2 linked regions of the Drosophila melanogaster genome follow. The protein of the gene in region 1 interacts with the protein of each later gene in a pairwise test. Each region holds a gene or a part of one and is shown in the gene's direction. Other genes may lie near its edges. The genes, in order: IntS1 and IntS12.

Region 1 (15,205 bases):
AACAATAACGACCTGGACCAGACCGGAGGCTCCTCAGCTTACAATCGCAGTCTCGATGAGAGCGACTCAAGCCCGCTTCAGTTGTCCGCCTCCAAAATGTACGCCCCACCACCGGTTGTGGCTTCCAATTACGATGGAGACTGCTCGCCGCACAGCTTGGGGTTAAATGGCAAATACCTGCAGCCATGCTCCATGCCGTACGCCATAGACACGTCGAATAACTATGGCAAACCGAGCGGAAAAGCTAAGTTATCTGACGGAGGCGTGGTAAATAGACTGCTCAGCTTTCGGGATACCACGATCCAGCGGAAGTTCAACTATCCCACTGGCCAGGCGTCGAGAATCCCGCTCAGGAAAGAAAGGCTAACTCGGTTCGCTTTGTCGGACCTTAAATCCTTCATCAGGAATCCCGACATCAGGCCCTATGTAATACCACGAGTGCTAATTTCGCTGTTCTTAATATTTTTGACAATAATCACTGTCCTCTATGTGGGCAAGAGGTTCGAGCAGAGCCCCATCGATAAGGCCGCACTGAAGTATACATTATGTAACCCCAACGATATGCAAATGATCAGCGAAAAGGTGAATTGCATCGAAAAAGATTCGCTAAGGGGTGCGCTGGACATGAGCGAGGAACTCTTTAGGCATCTGAACGAGCGAGCCAGGCTCCATCACTGCAAAGACGCCAATTTGTCGCCCGCTTTGGAAATAGGAGAGTTTGTGCGGGAAATGGTCAGCAACCCAAAGACTCACAGGGGAAATCTGCACAGCAACTTGATGGCTGCCAAATATTTGATTACCGAGAATCCGCAGTGGAGCATCCAAGTGGTGGATTCAACGAAGCACCTTGGACAGACCTCGCACTTCGAGCTTTCTGAACCCAATCTGCCGCTCAAGTGCATTGTGTTGAAGAAAGTTACCAGGTTTTTCACCGTTATCGGTGCACTTCTCTTAATAGTCGCTGGATTTCTCATCGTGTACGTCGCGGTAGTAATATACCGAGTTAAGCAGAAGGAAGCCCTGTTGGCGGTCGATCAGTTCCAAAAGGACATAATAAACGAGCTAATTTACTTGAGCTCCCAGTCCGAGAGTCCCGAGGTAGTTATTAACCAGCTGCAGGAGAAGTTTCTGCCGGCCAAGAAGCGCTCAAAGCTCTTGTCTTCTTGGAACAAGGCCCTCAAGCAGCTGGAGAAAAACGATAGCCGTGTGCTGTTCGGAATGGTGAATCGTGACGGGAAGGCAATGCGCACAATTGCGTGGAACAGGAACGTTGACAAAAAGGATGTGGGGCTTGTTAAGAAGTGGCAGAGTCCCGCCTTCGATAACTCGAACAAGATTGCCAACCCGCCGACTCCCTGCCTGAAGATTAGGCACATGTTCGACTCCTCAGAGGTGGATCAGGCCAATCTGAAGCAGTCCATCGTGGAGTCGATCATCGAGAAGGTCGGCACGCGCTGCAAGATCTGCGATGTCCAGCTGGACGTGCAGTCCTGCTGCGTGTACATCCGCTGCGCCAGCGAGGAGGACGCCGGCACGATTCACAAAGAGATCAACGGCTGGTGGTTCGACAAGCGCCTGATTTCGATTAAATTCTTAAGACTGGAACGCTACCTGAGCCGTTTCCCCAAGCCCTCGGCCGAGCCACTTTACTTTCACACCAACGAGGCAGCCAACACTCACTCATAAAACACACAACTCTACATTAGATACTTAAGTTATTAAATGCGAATTTGTTTTACATGTACAGCTGGAGTTGTCGTATTTAATCGATTTATTATGAACTAGACTTTAAAACTTAAAATCTGCTAAACACTACCACTACTTAGCTAGGGAGTTGGACGACAGAGCGCTTTCCCCAGTTTCCAAGTGTTTGATAAGCCGGTACAGGGTAGCAGCCTCCTTGATTTTGCTGAAACCCACGCAGAAGGCTTCGATTTCAATGAATAGTTCCTGGAAAATAACAATAGAATAGTCACTAAGCACAGTCGAGGAAATGGTAGTAGCGCATACCCTAACGTTCACAATCTTGTTCCTAATCAAGGACTGCAGAAATACGCAAACGAGTCGCACCAGGCGAGACTGCATGTACTTGTCCTTGACTGTTTCGCAAGTCGAGATGCAATTGCTGATGTATAGGTGAATAAACTCAGTGGGCAAAGGTCCGGAGGTGGTTAGTCTGGAATGAGAGCTCGAGCATGTTAAAGAAGCCTTCAATACTCGATGTTTGGATTCCTACCGGTTGACCACCTCCATGGAGTGAAGTGTTATGTCCATGTTGACCAACACGTTGAAGTATTCAGTTATGTCGGAGGTCGTCATCAGTCTTAGCAAGATCTCAATGGAGATGAGAGGATTGCTTTCCACGAGCAGAGGTAGCTGAGATGGAAGCAATGGATAAGACATATATCTAGCAATGTTTTCGGTTCTTACCTTGTCCGGGGTCAGTCCATATTGGCGCGCAATGTCCGTGTTCTGCTTCAGCAGGTCGTCGAAGAGGATGTGCTGGTTCTGGAGGCTGAGTGGCTGGAGAAAAGCCTGCTCGATGAGGTGCTTTATGTTGGGGGTAATGTAGTTGGACTTGTCGTAGATGATCTCCACCTTGTCGCTGTTCGACTGGTTTATCCAGAGCAGCTCGTCCTCGAAGTCCATTAGGGGCGGGGCGATGGACAGAAACATGCTGGTGCGCTGATTTTAATTTACAATTATTATTATTTTCCTTGCAATTTTGTAAACAATTTTAGTGTGACCGCGTTGAGGGGTTCTTAAGAACAATCTGCACATGAGAGTGGGCCATCTGAAAAATGATGTATGCAAATGTGCGCCTAAGGGTGTTAGGTTACACACTTGTCAAAAAATAAAAATTAAAATATGAAAACAGTTCAATATTTATATTAAAGCCTGTTTCAAAGCTTCCATCGTTCCGAATCAGAGCAGTTGCACAGACTTCTGCATGCGTTAGCCATTGAGCCCTAGCGCCTGCACTCTGGTCACACTGCAACTGTTGCACGGCTGCAAATCGCAAAGCAAAATAAAATGCACCGCGCTTGAATTATCCATTTTATGGACAGAAAAAACCTTCACACACGAACAGAGAAAAATGGATCGCGGGAAAGGAAGCGGCTCCAACCGATCGCAGAAGAAGGTTCCGCTGGGCGGAGAACTCTTTGCGCTCGGCAAGAGCGTACGCGATGACTCCAAGTCGAAGATCCTGCCCATTAAGGGCATGTCGTCGTCGGACCGCAAGCGTGAAGCCTCCACCGCACTGGCCAGCTCGAGCAAGCGGTTCCGCGGCAACCTGAAGGACGCGGGCGCCCCGGACATGTCCTCCGGTAGTAGTCAGTGCGAGACGTGGGAGCAATTCGCCGTTGACTGCGATCTGGATACCGTGGTCGAGACCATATACGCGGCTTTGGAGCAGAACGACAGCGAAACTGTGGGCCGGCTTGTATGCGGCGTTATAAAGCAGACAACGACGAGCTCCTCGCGCTCCAAGGTGGACAACATTGCCCTTCTGGCCCTGATCTACGTGGCCAAGGTACAGCCGAGTATATTCTGCACAGACATAGTGGCCTGCGCGCTGCTTTCCTTCCTGCGGCGGGAGGCCAACGTGAAAATGAGGTACAACACCAACCTGCACATTCTGTTCGCCAATCTGCTGACCCGGGGCTTCATGGAGATTTCCCAGTGGCCGGAGGTGCTGCTCCGCATTTACATAGACGATGCGGTTAACGAGCGCTACTGGGCGGACAATGAACTGTGTGCCCCGCTCGTGAAGAACATATGCGCAGCCTTTAAAACCCGCACGCCCCACATCAGTCTCCTCCGCTGGGATGTGAGCTCGTCCCTGCCTTCTGGTCAAGCACACAGAGACAGCATGACTGTGGACGACGATTCCGGGGACAATTCCACACAGAGCTTGGATGCAAGTCCCTTAAATACCGAATCGGAACCAATTCCCGACGCTATGTGCACCACTAAATCAAGATTCAGCGATGCTGTGGTGCAGAAGCATGTCAGCGATGCCATTCGCGATCAGCTCAACAAGCGACAGCAGCAGGATAACTACACCAGAAACTTCCTAAAGTTCCTGTGCACCACTTCTGGCATTGCAGAGGTACGATGTCTGAGCATTTCCCGCCTGGAGCTGTGGATCCACAACGGAAAACTGGTCAAGTTCGCCCAGCAATTGCTCTCGTACATCTGCTTCAACATCAAGGGACGCAACACACAGGACAACGAAGTGCTCTTGGTGCTGGTGAAGATGCGGCTCAAGACGAAGCCCCTAATAAACCACTACATGTCCTGCTTGAAGGAGATGATTTTTCTGCAGCCGGAAATCTTGAGTACCGTAATGAAACTGGTCGTGCAAAATGAGCTATCCAACACCAGGAATCCAAACAATATGGGGATGCTGGGTAAGAGAAACAAATTTTTTCTTAAATTAAAATCATAATTCTTAATTTGAAACTTTTCCAGCCACAATGTTTCAAACATCTGCTGATCAATCAGCTGCCACTCTGGCTGAGATTTACCAGGAATTCTTGCTTCAGCGGGACGATTGCCTGCGCACCCTGCGCGTTTTCTTACGGGAGCTTGTGCGGATGCTGCGCTTCGATGTGAACCTGGTCAAGTTTTGCAAGACGTTTCTCAGTGAGCGGGAGGATCTGACTCCTCAAATCGAAATGTTCGAGTTTAAGGAGCGAATTTTCAACTCCATGGTGGACATTGTGTGTCTCTGCATGTTTCTGTCGGCCACGCCACAAGCTAGGGAAGCCAGTTTGTCCCTGAAAACCAATCGGGACACCAAAAACAACCATGCTCTGCTCAAGCTGTACAATCAGATGTCACAGATTCAGTTGGACACAGTGTCCTGGATGTACGAAACAGTACCCACGCTCTTCAAGATTCCGGCTGCGGAGTACCACCAGGCGCTGCACAAGCTGCTACTGCTGGACAGTCCGGAGCAGTATTCGCGCTGCGATCAGTGGCCGTCAGAGCCGGAGCGAGGAGCAATCCTGCGGATTATCTCTGAGACGCCGATTCACGAGGAGACCCTGCTGCGAATTATATTGATTGGCATCACCAAGGATATTCCTTTCTCTATCGCAAACACCTTTGATGTCCTGCTGCTGGTCATAAAGCGAGTTTCCGGGATGAAGGCTACCAATATTCCGGCGGTGCAGGCCAACAAATTCGACATCATCGACTTCCTGTTCAGCATGTCAGAGTACCATCATCCGGAGAACATTCGCTTGCCTGCGGAGTACGAGCCACCAAAGCTGGCCATCATCGCCTTCTACTGGAAGGCGTGGCTCATATTGCTTATGATATCCGCACACAACCCCTCCTCGTTTGGAGCCTTCTGCTGGGACCACTATCCCACAATGAAGATGATGATGGAGATTTGTATAACGAATCAATTCAACAATTCATCAGCCACCAAGGATGAGTTGCAGGTGCGTGCTTAATTATATAAACAAACTGGCGGTGCTACAATAAAGATTTTTCAGATAATAACCATGGAACGGGATCACATTCTGCAGTTCGAGACGTACTTGGCTGCCCAAACATCGCCGCATGCTGTTATCACTGAGGAAACTGCGATTCTAATCACTCAGCTCATGCTGATGGACCCGATGGGCACTCCGCGCAAAGTGCCCTCCATGGTCCTAGATCAGCTAAAGTTCCTTAATCAGACCTACAAGCTTGGCCACTTATTCTGCCGCTGCCGCAAGCCGGACTTGCTGCTGGACATAATTCAAAGGCAGGGCACCACGCAATCCATGCCCTGGCTTTCCGACTTGGTTCAGAACAGCGAGGGCGATTTCAGCCATCTCCCAGTGCAATGCCTGTGCGAGTTTCTGCTGTTCAACGCGCACATCATCAACGAGGAGAATAGCCGCGATGCCGAGTTAGTCAATTTCCTGAGAAACCTGATATTTGACGGCAATCTTAGCCACCAAATCGTTTGCGAGCTTTTGGACTACATATTTAGACGCTTGTCGTCCACGGTGAAGCAATCGCGAGTCGCCGCTCTTTCGGGTCTGAAGATAATCTTCAGGCACTCTGGCGACTTTGAAAACGAATGGCTCCTGAAGTCGCTCCAGCAAATTCCGCACTTCTACGAGGTGAAACCCTTCATAATTCCCCAGCTGCGAGCTGCCTGCCAGGTGGAGAATTGCCCGGAACTGATTATGGCGTACATTCAGTTCATCACTGCGCACACGCTCAACGATCCGGTCAACGAAATGCTGGATCATGTCATCGATATGGCGCAGCTGATTGTAGAGCGCAGCACAATGTTTCAGCACATTATCATTTCGCAGGAGGACTACGACTATGTGCCCGACGAGAACCGCATTCAGACTCTGAAGTGTCTTTTCGTCATGTTCAACAACTATATAATTAAGCTAAGGGAATACCACGAACCGTACGAGTGGACCGAGTATCCGGACCTGCTGATGGTTCAGTTTGACGATGGAGTACAGCTACCGCTCCACATAAACATCATTCACGCCTTCATTATCCTGCTCACCTATTCCAACAGCAACATGCCCGAATCGATACCCATTTTGGACTATTGGTTTCCGCCCGGACGACCAGCGCCCGTCGCCTTTCTGCCCAGCATGCCGCAGGAGCAGGTGCAACTGCTGCCCGACTGGCTGAAGCTGAAGATGATCCGCTCATCGGTGGACAGACTAATTGAGGCAGCTCTCAACGATCTAACGCCGGATCAGATCGTGCTCTTTGTGCAAAACTTTGGCACGCCGGTCAACTCGATGTCCAAGCTGCTGGCAATGCTGGACACCGCTGTACTGGAGCAGTTTGATCTGGTGAAGAATGCCATTCTGAACAAGGCCTATCTGGCCCAGCTAATCGAGATTCAGCAGGCGCGGGGTGCTAAGAATGGGCACTACACCGTACAGGCCTTGGATCTGCATTCCCACTCGCAGACTGTGCCAGATCTGCCCAAGATCAGTGTGGTTATTCAGGAGGCCGTTGAAATTGATGATTACGATTCTTCAGACTCGGATGATAGACCCACTAACTTCCTGGCCACCAAGGAGGTAGCCCAAACCATTCTCACGCAGCCCGACCAGTTGACTGAGTCGCGAAGTGACTGCCGATCCTTGATTCAAAAACTGTTGGACATGCTAGCAAGCCCGAACAGCAATAGAGCGGATGTGGTTAACGCCATAACAGAGGTGCTAGCCGTGGGTTGCAGTGTCACGATGAGCCGTCACGCCTGCACATTTTTAAGGACTTTCTTCAGCTGCATGCTGCACAGCGACAAGTATCACATACTGGAGAACGCTCTCCAAAAGAACTTAAGTATGTTTAAGCACACATTCGCCGACTCCAGTCTGCTGCAGAAATCCGAACTCTATCATGAGAGCTTGGTGTTCATGCTGAGAAACTCTCGCGAGATTTATGCGCAGCAGTTTAAGGCGAATACCGCCTTGGTGGCACGAAAACGGATCGTCCGGGCGATCGTCCAAAGCTTCGATCAGACCAAGGACAGCAAGACCGTCGCCAAGTCCAAGAGCGACCAGCTCTTCCACAACGGGCTCTTCATCGACTGGCTGTCCGAAATGGATCCCGAGATAGTTTCCACTCAGCTAATGAAGGAGCGCTTTCTGTTCTCAAAGTCCTGCAGCGAGTTTAGGTTCTATCTGTTGTCCCTGATCAACCACCAAACCAACTGGGACACGATCGAAAGGATTGCCGAGTACCTGTTCAAGAATTTCCATGAAGACTACGACTACGCCACCGTCCTCAACTACTTCGAGGCACTGACCACCAATCCGAAGCTGTGGAAGGGACGCGACAAGTACATGTCGAAGAACGTACGGCCGGATGCCTTCTTCATGCTGAGGACTTCTGAACTGGAGCCGTTCTCCCACTTCATCCTTCACGAAGGGCTTTCCGAGGTCAAGCTGGACAGCAAAAACTATGATTTCAAGCTCTGCTCGCGAATGAACCTACTGTTTAAGCTCACAGAGAAGCGACGAGACCTCATGGTCAAGGTAATGGAGCACGTGGAGAAAAGTTCGGTGTCCGACTACTTGAAACTGCAGGTCCTCCAGCAGATGTACATCATGTATCCGCGCATCAAGTTTCTGAAACCGGGCAAAACCGGCGAGCAGGCGTACAAATTGCAGAATCTGAAGGGCTGCCAGGCGGACAAGGTGTCCAACAATCTGATCACCTGCTTGGGCAGTCTGGTGGGCAAAAAGGACTTTGAAACCCTGTCCACGGACACCGAGCTGCTCCTTCGCAAGCTGGCTGCCTCCCACCCGCTTCTCTTCCTTCGCCAGCTGGGCGTGCTGTCGTCCATTATGCAAGGTCGGGCCCAGCTCAGCATGAAGGCCCTGCGCGAGGAGCACCACTTCCACCGATTTGTACAGATCCTGAGGACGCTGGAGCTGCTGCAACCAACCATCTTTGAGGAGGCGTACAAGAACGAGATCCAAAACACGCTGTCGTGCTACTTCAACTTCTTCAAGCACCACAGCAACGTAAAAGAGGCCTGCCAAATGCTGAACAAGTTTGTGCAGATGCTCCAAGCCTACATCAACTACAATCCCTCAAGTGCTCTGCTCTTCATCGAACAGTACGTGGGCATCCTGAAGGAACTTGCAGCCAAGTACACCTCACTAGGCAAACTGCAGGTTTTGGTCCAGGCCGTTGCCCTGCTGCAGCACAAGTCGCACTCGGCGACGGAATTGGACGACGAGGAAGTTAAGTACGAGTACGATCTGGATGAGCATTTCGATGTAAAGCCATCGGCCAGCAAGCCCGTGGTAACAGAGGATCCCATCGAAGTGAATCCGCAAACACCCATCGATCCAAGCAGCAGTAGGGGTCCCTTATCGGTTCTAACCTTGGGCTCGTACAGCCGGTCGAACTACACGGACATATCGCCGCACTTCCTCGATCTGGTCAAGATCATAAAGCAGTCCAACACGGAGGACGTGGTCTTGGGTCCCATGCAGGAGCTGGAGTGCCTCACTTCCAAGAGATTTGTGTTCATCAACGAGCTGTTCGAACGACTGCTCAACCTTATATTCTCGCCGAGTGCCCAGATCCGGTCCATCGCCTTCATCATACTGATCAGGCATCTGAAGCACAATCCCGGCAATTCGGACATCAACCTGTGCACCCTTAACGCCTACATTCAGTGCCTGCGGGACGAGAACTCCTCGGTGGCAGCGACGGCCATTGACAATCTGCCGGAGATGTCGGTGCTGCTGCAGGAACACGCAATCGACATCCTAACGGTGGCCTTCTCGCTGGGCTTGAAGTCGTGCCTGAACACTGGCCACCAGATTAGAAAGGTTCTCCAGACTCTAGTGATCCAGCATGGCTATTAAGCGTTCGGTCTATAAGTTAGAACCGTCATCATATGTACAATGTAATCTTTGCTCCTTATAATAAAGTGTATTCTGCGGTACGAGATTTTTACCACAGCGGAAACGCGACTTGGTCAAGTTAAATATTTCATTCTTTATTTCTACTGAAAATACAAATTATGTAGAAAATTCTCATACAAATTGGCGATCTCAACAGGATACGTGTTTCCATCGCTGTTTCATGCATGCCTTGTTTGTTAAATGCAATGCACAGTGCTCGTACAGTTTATTGGCGGTCGGTGGCCCGGAGTTTCTCCTCGACGGCTTCCCGGGAGGCTTCGGAAAGATCAGTGGCTTGTATATACTTTTGGACGCCCACGAGCGACTTCTTGAGAGCATCGAAGGAGCTGGAGTACAACATCTTCTTCTTGACCTGTGGGTGTGTGATATCGAAATGAGTTCTGCGCCATTACTTGGCAACTGGCTATTCACATACCTTGGCAGTATCGGGACACCACGACATAAGGAACAGCTTTTGCTTCTTTGAACTCTCAGAGGTGCCTTGACACTGGTGCATGTACTCGAAATCGAACAGTCCGTACCTGTGCAAGCGAATAGATGTTAAATTAGGTTAGTTTCGATGGGTCTGGGTGTCTCTAACCGGCGGAACTTACCGGCACTCTCCAGGTCCGCATTTCTGGATATCTTCTAGAAACTGGTCGTACTCGGCGTTGCGATCTGCCACAGTCTCCACATCAATCTGCTTTTCATCGCGAATGTAAAAGATGACATAGCGATGCTTTTTGTCCTTCTTTATTTCCTCGTATGTAGTCTTGCAGACATCAGACACAGTTACACCAGAAGCCTTTAGAGAGAGAGAAGGTAGAGATGCAAATCAGAGAATGTATTTTGAATGTTCAATGCGCGCCAAACTGTCAACCAAGTGTGTGTGCATGTATGTGATACAGGGTGCTCTCTTTGCGTTTCCCCAAGTATTCCCTTAAAACAAATGTTCATGAAGTACCAAGTAGTTGAATTGTAAAAAAAAATAAGTGAAGTTCAATGTTTTATGCCCACATAAGACACGAGGCACCCTGTACCTCACTGATGTACATATGTGCGTATGTAACTGACTGGCAGACATAACTGCCCACCTTCAGCTGACAGTATATCCGTCCCTTTTCGACTTTGCAATTTTATTTCTTTGATTGCCGGCAATAACAAACATAAAGGTAAATAATTTATGCTACTTTATTTGCATTGCCACCGCAGAACTTTTACCGGTTAAGGCGTGCGCACACTTGGCACGCCGATTTATCTGGGAGTGGTGGGCGTGGCACCATTTACAGTTAGATTTTCCTTTCTTTTTTTCCCGGCGCTCGGAAAGTTCAAGGGTAAGTTCACAAGTGCCGGCAAGTTTAAGGGTGAGAACAAGCCGACAAGAGGGAGAAAGAAAACTAAAAGGGAGGTGGCTGTTTCCCCACGATTTCGTTGCGCTCACAAAACGGTGGAAAATGCCCGATTTTCCATAATATTCGGAAAATGTCGAGAAAATCAAAATCGTCCCACATGCAAACAGTCGTCTGCTGCACACACACAGCTAAACATCATGTGTATGTATGTATGAACATCCGCAAGGCGGCAAGGAAACGATCACACCTTAAATATGTATGCCTGCAGATACATATATGGATATATATTGATACATATTTCTGTATGGTAATATGGACGTACATATGTACACACATTTTGCGTCTGCGAGAAAATAAGCATTAAGCATTGCCCCGCAGATACATACATACGCACATATTTATAGCCATCGAAATATAAAAAAAGCGGTATACCCACACACGCTCAAGTGTGTAAAAATATATATATGTATAGACATGAAAATCCAATGTGTGTGCATTTCTCTTTCCAACATTTCAATTTTTAATCGCTCCATTTTTCCAGCTGCCACTTTGGAGCATTCTTTCGCGATTGCCTTTCGCGAATTTGCCAGTTATGAGTGTGAGTGGCGGCTGAGAAGTATGAAACACTCCAATAAATGAGTAATATCCGCTGCTACCAATGACTAATTTGGTATATATGTATACGCACACATTCATGACCATGTATATGCCCGAATATGGCCAACGAACATATAGGCAAAAAAAAGTGGAAATATATGTATGATTGATATATACACACTTATCTAAATATGTATGTATATACAGATTTCAAAGGAGAGATGCTTATATGATTCATCGAATCGAAGACATTATTTGCACTCCACCTCGCTTCCAAAAGTGCACAATGACCGGCCGCTTTTACCACCGAGTCTGAATGCGAGTCCCAAGTGTACGTACCATTTTTCCTGTAGTTTTTCGCTTTCACAATTCTCAAATTGCTGCTTCGCCGAGTATATATTTTACAAATACTGTTTAACCTTCCGCCTTCTTTCACGAACAACCGGACGAATCAATTTGGTCGGTTATTTCGCACAGGTTAGGGTTGCCAGGCGCCGGCAAAGTATCAACATGCGTCGTGACGCGTCGCGACGTTTGTGAAGCGTTTGGAACGGTGAAATGGCACACTTTCGATCTTTCAAAATGTCAAATATTTTAGGGTGCTTTAAAATACATAGTATAGTTTGAGTTAATTTATTTATTTATATTAACAAATTGCACTATACTTTCGTGTAATAAAGCTGAAGATTTACAGATTTGAATCTTAACACATTCGCTGTTTTGGAACATAGAATATATATACATAGTTTACACTTATAGCTACAATTTATTACTTCAATATCAATTCATCCCAAAGCTAATGATATTCTTTGTTGTATAGTATTGATCTTAGTATTTATTAATTAGTACAACGATTGCGATGAAATTTGTATTTAACAGTTAATATAATATGTTAAAAGCGATATTATTAACGATAAATATATTTTGACTAACAAGCAGACCGAACATTAAGAAATTTAGCACAAGCCACCTTCGTCCTCGGCGTCGTTGGTTTCCTGCGAGAGAGAAAGAGAGAAAATACGAAATTCTTGTTAGCTATTTAGTTTACTGCTTCGCACTGTCCCAAGTCTTCTATCGACAACAAAGGCAGATTCAATCGCCTATCGATAACATCATAATAAGAGCCAAATTTACAAAACAAAAATTGCAAATTCCATTTTTAGAATAAAAATACTCACAGCAGCAGTGTCGCCAGCCTTCTTCTCCATCTGTATACCCTGAGGTAGTGGAATGTTTTTAGATAGAATAGCGTACTCAACATCCATATGTCGTATGAATGGGGATGCCAGCATCCTAGCAGCTAACTCGGGATCCTCGTCATCGAAGGCTTGCAGAAGGGTCTGCAGTGTGGACACTTCCTCTGGCTCGCAGCAGTTTCCCCACTCCCTGAAGGTCTTTTCGGCTTCCACGGAATCCCCGCGAGCCAGTTGGACCATCACCAAGGCCACAACTAGGCGTCCAATTTGTCCGTAAGATTCCGTTTGCTGATTCAAGCTGATCTCCTTTTTGAGCGCATTCGTGGCTTCGTCGTACCTGGAGTGATTGGATGATATAAGCTAAGGATACCCAAAGTGATTCGTTGCAATCATAGGTACATACCTCCTTAGTTTGACCAGTATCCTGGAAACTTTTGATGCATACTCGGCTGCTTGACGGACGGAATCCTCGATCTGTCGGGTAAGTATAAAATTAATAGTTTAAGAATGGAATTGACTAGAGCAGTGTCAAATAGGACGAACCATTATGACTTCTAGAGCATGCTGATAGAAGCGCAAAGCCATGTCAGGATGCTTGGATTCAGTTAACTTGGCGGCTTTATCCAAGGCGGATGCGGCTGCCTCTGGGGAACCGTGCTGTTGATACAAACTCGCCGATTTGTTGGCGTATTCCTCAACTTCGTGTAGCTTATCGGCATCCTTTGACAGCAAAATGATCTAGAAGATGTGCACATTTAGAGGGTTTAAATTTCCTATTAACTTCACTTATATTAACTTCAATTTAAGCTCACCTGTTCGTATGCCTTTGCAGCATGGAACCAAGACTTGTTGTTTTTATAGGCGTCGATTGCCTTCAGAAAACACTCCTTGCTCTTATCATAACTTTTAGCTATTCGATATGCAGTGGCTGCAATTAAAAATGTAAAAGAAAGATACATAATTGTACACCAATATGTGTGTATCTTGCAAGTTATGGATACTTTGGGATAATCGTTAGCTGTAATTCATAGTATTTACATATCTCATTGATGTCACAATGTTTTTATAGATAGATACTCTGGGTGATATTAGTCACTCCTACTTTGTGAAACTCACCAGCTTTGGAATACTCATCCGCAGCACTATCGTAATCAGGAACCCATTTCAGCATGGACAACTTCAAGCTGCAAATAAAGATGGGTGTTATTTGGAAACCCCTTTATAAGGATATTTTTGTTGGGGATACCTCTTCTCGGCCTGCTTCACCAGGTCCTCCGCTTCGGCAATCTTTTTGGCAGCGATTCCCGACATTTTCAACCACTTTTGTTTAGCAGGAAAAATCAATTGTTTACGTTTGAAAATAGTGTGACCGAATGCGAGAAGGAAAATAACAATGGTTCGAAAATCACGGTGGTTTCGAATCTTTGAAAACCGAAAGCAGTACGCATGTCTGAAAATTTCAGAAAAGCAAAGCCTGATTACACCGGGAAAAAAAAGTTGGTCTTATAAAGCAGTTGACTTCGAAATGAAAATGCCATGTATTTACATACATCTATTCATTTTTTTATTTTATCTATGATATTTAAAAAGTAGAGTATGTGTAACGAACAAGATCGAATTGAAGTGTTTTTAATTGATTGAAAATGATTTTCCACTCCTGATTTCTCCGCGTGCATGTCATACCTGTTCTGTTTTGATTTGCAAGTAAATAAGAAAGTGCATTAGGTAAGAAATCGCAGTTTTCGCCAATTTCAATCTGGAGTAAGTGGAAATTTTGGATTTATTATTAAGTTGTTTTTAAGCGAAGATTTATTTGAATTTGCTTACGAATCCGGATATTCTGAGCTTTGCGAATGTTTGATTATAATTTGCAACACTTTTTCGTTTCTATACTTTGCAGACTTAAAAATGTCCCACAAATCTTGCGTGGAACTGAGCGAAATTCGAAAATTGGATAAAATAGTGCAGCAATGCGAGCTGTACATGTCCAACAACAATATTAACGATAATGCGGCCAAGAAACCGCCTGTGAAGGAATTCAAGCGCAATTGCCCTGCAAAATCGAACAAATTTGTGGAGAGGGAACTCTTCTCGCTCATGTGCAACCTGAACAAGATTGAAAAGAAGCAGGTTTTCGTTTCAGATATCCTGATTAACGCCAGCATGTTCGACGACAAGAAGGAGAGTTTGGCGCGGTTTCCGAAAAACGTGTCCGACCACAACACTCTGGTGTACCACAAATTCCTGAGGACTCGACCCACTAACGATGATGAAGCCCTAAAGCTGAAGGCTGGTGGAAAATCGAAGGAGAGGCCAGGCACGAAAATCACGGCAGATTGCTTCTTTTCGCCTCTTCTATTCAAAATCAACAACAAAAGGGAGTGCCTGAAAAAAGTGAAGCCCATGAAGGGGGAAAATGCTGTCGAAACCAATGGTATCCCACTCGAATCCAAGCCAAGTCAGCACAAAAAGCAGAAAAGTTTCAAGAAATGCATTAAGTGCGACAAGAAGAAGCTGTACATTAAGAACTATCAGGTGTCCGCCCGGCGGGAATGCGATCTCCTCTGCTCGTATGATCCCTTGCGTAAAAATAACGCCGACCTCTTCCAGACCCACAAAGGCACTTCTTACGAGTGCATGTTCAAGA
Region 2 (3,600 bases), on another chromosome or scaffold:
CCGGACACATGCTGTTCTCTCCATAAAGCACCGGCTTACAGACATTGATCACAAAGAAGGCGCCTTGACGATTGCTCGTATGATAGTTACTATCACTCAGCGGCATCAGATCGAAGGTTCCATTTGACTTTGTGTCGCCCACTCTGCAACTATTGGATTGTAGACCCTCGGGAATGGATAGGCATGCCAAAGGCGTCCTATATGAGATGTAAAAAGAACACACTTCGTTGGCCTAGATGAAGTACAATAGTATGTTATTCAGAATGATAGAATCTTCGAAATATTTAAGGAATACAATTCAAATACTTACGTAAGGCGTTACGTGCATAGGCTGGGCATCCAAAGTATAGTCGCAGGAGAACATTACATGCAGCTGGTAGTTGGGCTTGTCGGCAGTGCCATTGTCGCATTTTGCGCCGCTTTTGTACTTCAGAAACATATTTCCATTGTTGTAGAACAACTCGTGCTGACGACCTGAACAGTAAAGGTATCTTAGCGTGTGAGATACAGATAATGTGATCGTTAACTTACCCAAAATATACTCCTTTCCCTGTCTTTTGAGACAAGCTGCCACATTACTTTCCCCATTGCAGGTTCTTGAAAGATTTCCGCATATATTGAACTCGAATTGGTCGCCTCCAATGTTCATGCTCTTCACCACATGGGCCAAATCCGAGTGGAGACCACTGAAGTCGAAGGTGCTGCCGTAAATGGGCTCCTTGAGTTTACATTCCGTGGTGGAAAATTTCTAAAGAAAAAGTAAACATATTACAGTTACATATTTTCCTATTTCAAAGAAAACAAGACATTTTTTATGACTATTATCGCTTCATTATTCAGCCTATTGATTTCTTAGCCATTCGAAATGTCGGCCAACAAAGACTGGAAGTGATAAGCGAGCGAAAAACATGCAATTGGGGGGCCTTAAACGGGGTCTCGACCAAAAGGCAACAAGTGCGCAGTGAAAACAAACAAACACCCCCAAAATAAACGACCCACGCCCACTAACCGCCCACTTACCAGCTGATTGGCTGCGTCAGCGGCGACACTCTCACCGCTGCAGAAAAGCAGCAAAAGCAGGGAAATCACAATTGGGAAACGCATCTGCTGGAATGTCAGTAAATGCAATGAATAGTTTTTAGTTCAGTTTAAATGTATTCAGCATGTATCATCTTACCTGACGAAAATTTTCCTGCGTGGGAGCTGCGCAGTCCTTTTGCAAACTGCAACGCATTTTGTCACCTGCAGGCTCTGAAATATTGGCACTAAATGAGTCAAAGCGCTGGAAAGCGTTTGCAGTTTGTTTCTTTTACTGTTTTATTGGTAATTCCACCTAAGATTAGCGCTCTTTTTTCGCACACAAAGTAATTTAATTTCCCTTATCACAAGCTAACTGTTTGTTTTGCGAGAGAGCCAAGTTGTTATTGCTTTTCCAATTGGCTCTCTGCTTCGATTTTTCAACGGCCGTTCGCAGCAATTCTTCTTCTTTGCGCAGCAGAACAAATAAGGAAATGCCGGCGACGCAGTTGCACGATAGGCATAACAACGAACACAAATAGTGGCGAAATAACTATTTTTAGCTTGAATATACCTTTTTCGGATGCGGCTAAATTACCTGGCCAAAAAACAACACCCGCTCTTACCAATGTTACTTTACGTTTACAAGCGAGTGGCAGCGCTCAGAAGAAGTCGAGCTGCGTAGCAGTGTGGTAGCACTGGTCAAACAGCTGTTGGGCTTTTGAATATACATTATGTTTGAGAATCCAATACAACCAACGTGTGTAGTGTTACTTACATACTAACATTGTTGTTAACAAGGCTATATTCAGATTACATGAAATGATCCATAACTTTATTTTCATCGTATTATGGCTAATAACTTAAAATTTAATTTTCCCGCCTAAAACCTATGCACGTTGCCAAGTGAATGGCTGAAACCAAACAAACAGCTGTTGCGCGGGCATAAACTTGCATTTATATTGTTATTTACTATATCTACCCGGTATTAAGATGGCCGCAAATATAGCCGCCGCTGCTGCAGCTGCCCAAGAAGTGGATCCCGTGCTGAAGAAGGCCATCAAGTTGCTGCACTCGAGTAATCCCACCTCGGCGGCCGAACTGCGTCTGCTTTTGGACGAGGCTTTGAAGGCGCGTTTTGGTCCGGAGAAAAGTTTGACCAACAACATGACGCCACGGATGCTGGAGGATGAAGCGAACTTTTCCGGACGTGCTGCCACGCCCCCGCAGCAGCCCATCAATGCGGACGAGATCATCAATTTGACCAACTCACCGGACAAGGAGCCCTCCGATTCGGTGGACACGATTGCGGATTCGGATGACGGTCTAAGCGCCGTGGGAATAGTTAACACCGGTGACACCGGCGACTTTGGCGACCTCAATTGCTGCGTGTGCGGCGAGATGGTTTTCACGGCCACCAATCGGCTGATTGAGTGCTCCAAGTGCGGTGCCATGTACCATCAGGAGTGCCACAAGCCGCCCATAACCAAGGAGGAGGCGGCCGATGACCAGGAGCAGAACTGGCAGTGCGACACGTGCTGCAACAAGCCAACGAGCAGCGGGAGGACAACATCCTCTGCAGCGGCCGTAACGCCAACTGTCTTCATAGCCGACGAACCCATGCCGTTGACCAGCAAAGCCAAATCGTCGGTCGCGTCGTCGCGCTCATCGAACTCTTCCAACTCCTCGTCACCCTTCTACCGGCCCGAGCCCAGCAGTTCCACGAATGCCAGCAGCAGTAGCAGCAGCAAGCATGGCCACAAGTCCTCCTCTTCGTCGTCGTCCAAATCGCACAAGGAAGAACGATCCTCTAAGTCCACGGCGGCGTCTTCTCTTAGCGCCATCGGCGGAATGGAGAAGCACAACAGCAGTGGCACCTCATCGCGACGCAGCGGCTCCAGCACCAAATCCAGCTCCAAGAGCAGTTCCTCCAAGCATCACGAAAGCGGCAGCAGCAGCAAGCGCAGATCCAAGCAGTAATTTAGCATCTCTAATAATTAAGTATAAAGTTACAATCCGCATAAAATTCTGAACGTTCATTCATAATAATAATTCAATAATTCATTTTCAATAAATGATTTTTAAAGATATGTACGTGCTATCGAATTCAGTAAATGTAGGTAAAAGTAAGAAAATATTTCAAGTTTTTATTAATGAGGTTACAAATGTAAAAATACAGAAAACAAAGGCTCCTATCCCTGGTATTTCCGCACAGTGACGGCTGGTGTCCGCGGACTACGGCCGGGCGTGGAGGAGTCGCCATGGCCGTTTACCTTGCGCAGGTTAACTCGGGTCACAGGTGAGGCCTCCTCCTTCGAACTGGACGCCAACGCGCTGCGGGATGAGGGTGTACGTGAATCAACCGCCGTCGCCTTATCCTGGTCCGCTTTCTTTTTGCGTTTGACATTCACAATTACGTTGGCATCCATGCTAACGTCGAGCTCGAAGTTAAACTCATAGGTCTTCTTGGAACGCGGCTGTGGAGTGAGGTCATCGTTGATCACGGTTTTGCCACCGGGACGTCCACGCAGCGAAATAGACGGGCTGAAATTGATCTTGGCATTGGGAGTACGGAGCCGCGCT

Evidence for each region.
Region 2: the proteins of IntS1 (region 1) and IntS12 interact in a two-hybrid assay, tested with the Drosophila melanogaster proteins (one study listed by BioGRID).

What each region holds. Positions count from the first base shown.
Region 1 is NT_033778.4:24,034,965-24,050,169, forward strand, and holds IntS1 (integrator 1), read left to right. Parts: upstream 1-2,978; 5' UTR 2,979-3,097; coding exon 3,098-4,415; intron 4,416-4,476; coding exon 4,477-5,456; intron 5,457-5,510; coding exon 5,511-9,374; 3' UTR 9,375-9,494; downstream 9,495-15,205. Other genes in the region: MAN1, read left to right, coding at 1-1,686; Not11 (CCR4-NOT transcription complex subunit 11), read right to left, coding at 1,819-2,176, 2,237-2,376, 2,431-2,676; tsr (twinstar), read right to left, coding at 9,640-9,786, 9,850-9,955, 10,028-10,218, 11,702-11,704; gammaSnap1 (gamma soluble NSF attachment protein 1), read right to left, coding at 12,319-12,357, 12,541-12,895, 12,962-13,032, 13,102-13,296, 13,371-13,486, 13,675-13,742, 13,805-13,869; sei (seizure), read left to right, coding at 14,467-15,205. UniProt on the Drosophila melanogaster protein: Component of the integrator complex, a multiprotein complex that terminates RNA polymerase II (Pol II) transcription in the promoter-proximal region of genes.
Region 2 is NT_033777.3:26,861,460-26,865,059, forward strand, and holds IntS12 (integrator 12), read left to right. Parts: upstream 1-1,916; 5' UTR 1,917-2,010; coding exon 2,011-2,997; 3' UTR 2,998-3,100; downstream 3,101-3,600. Other genes in the region: Lerp (lysosomal enzyme receptor protein), read right to left, coding at 1-232, 311-474, 532-748, 1,021-1,107, 1,178-1,234; ball (ballchen), read right to left, coding at 3,210-3,600. UniProt on the Drosophila melanogaster protein: Component of the integrator complex, a multiprotein complex that terminates RNA polymerase II (Pol II) transcription in the promoter-proximal region of genes.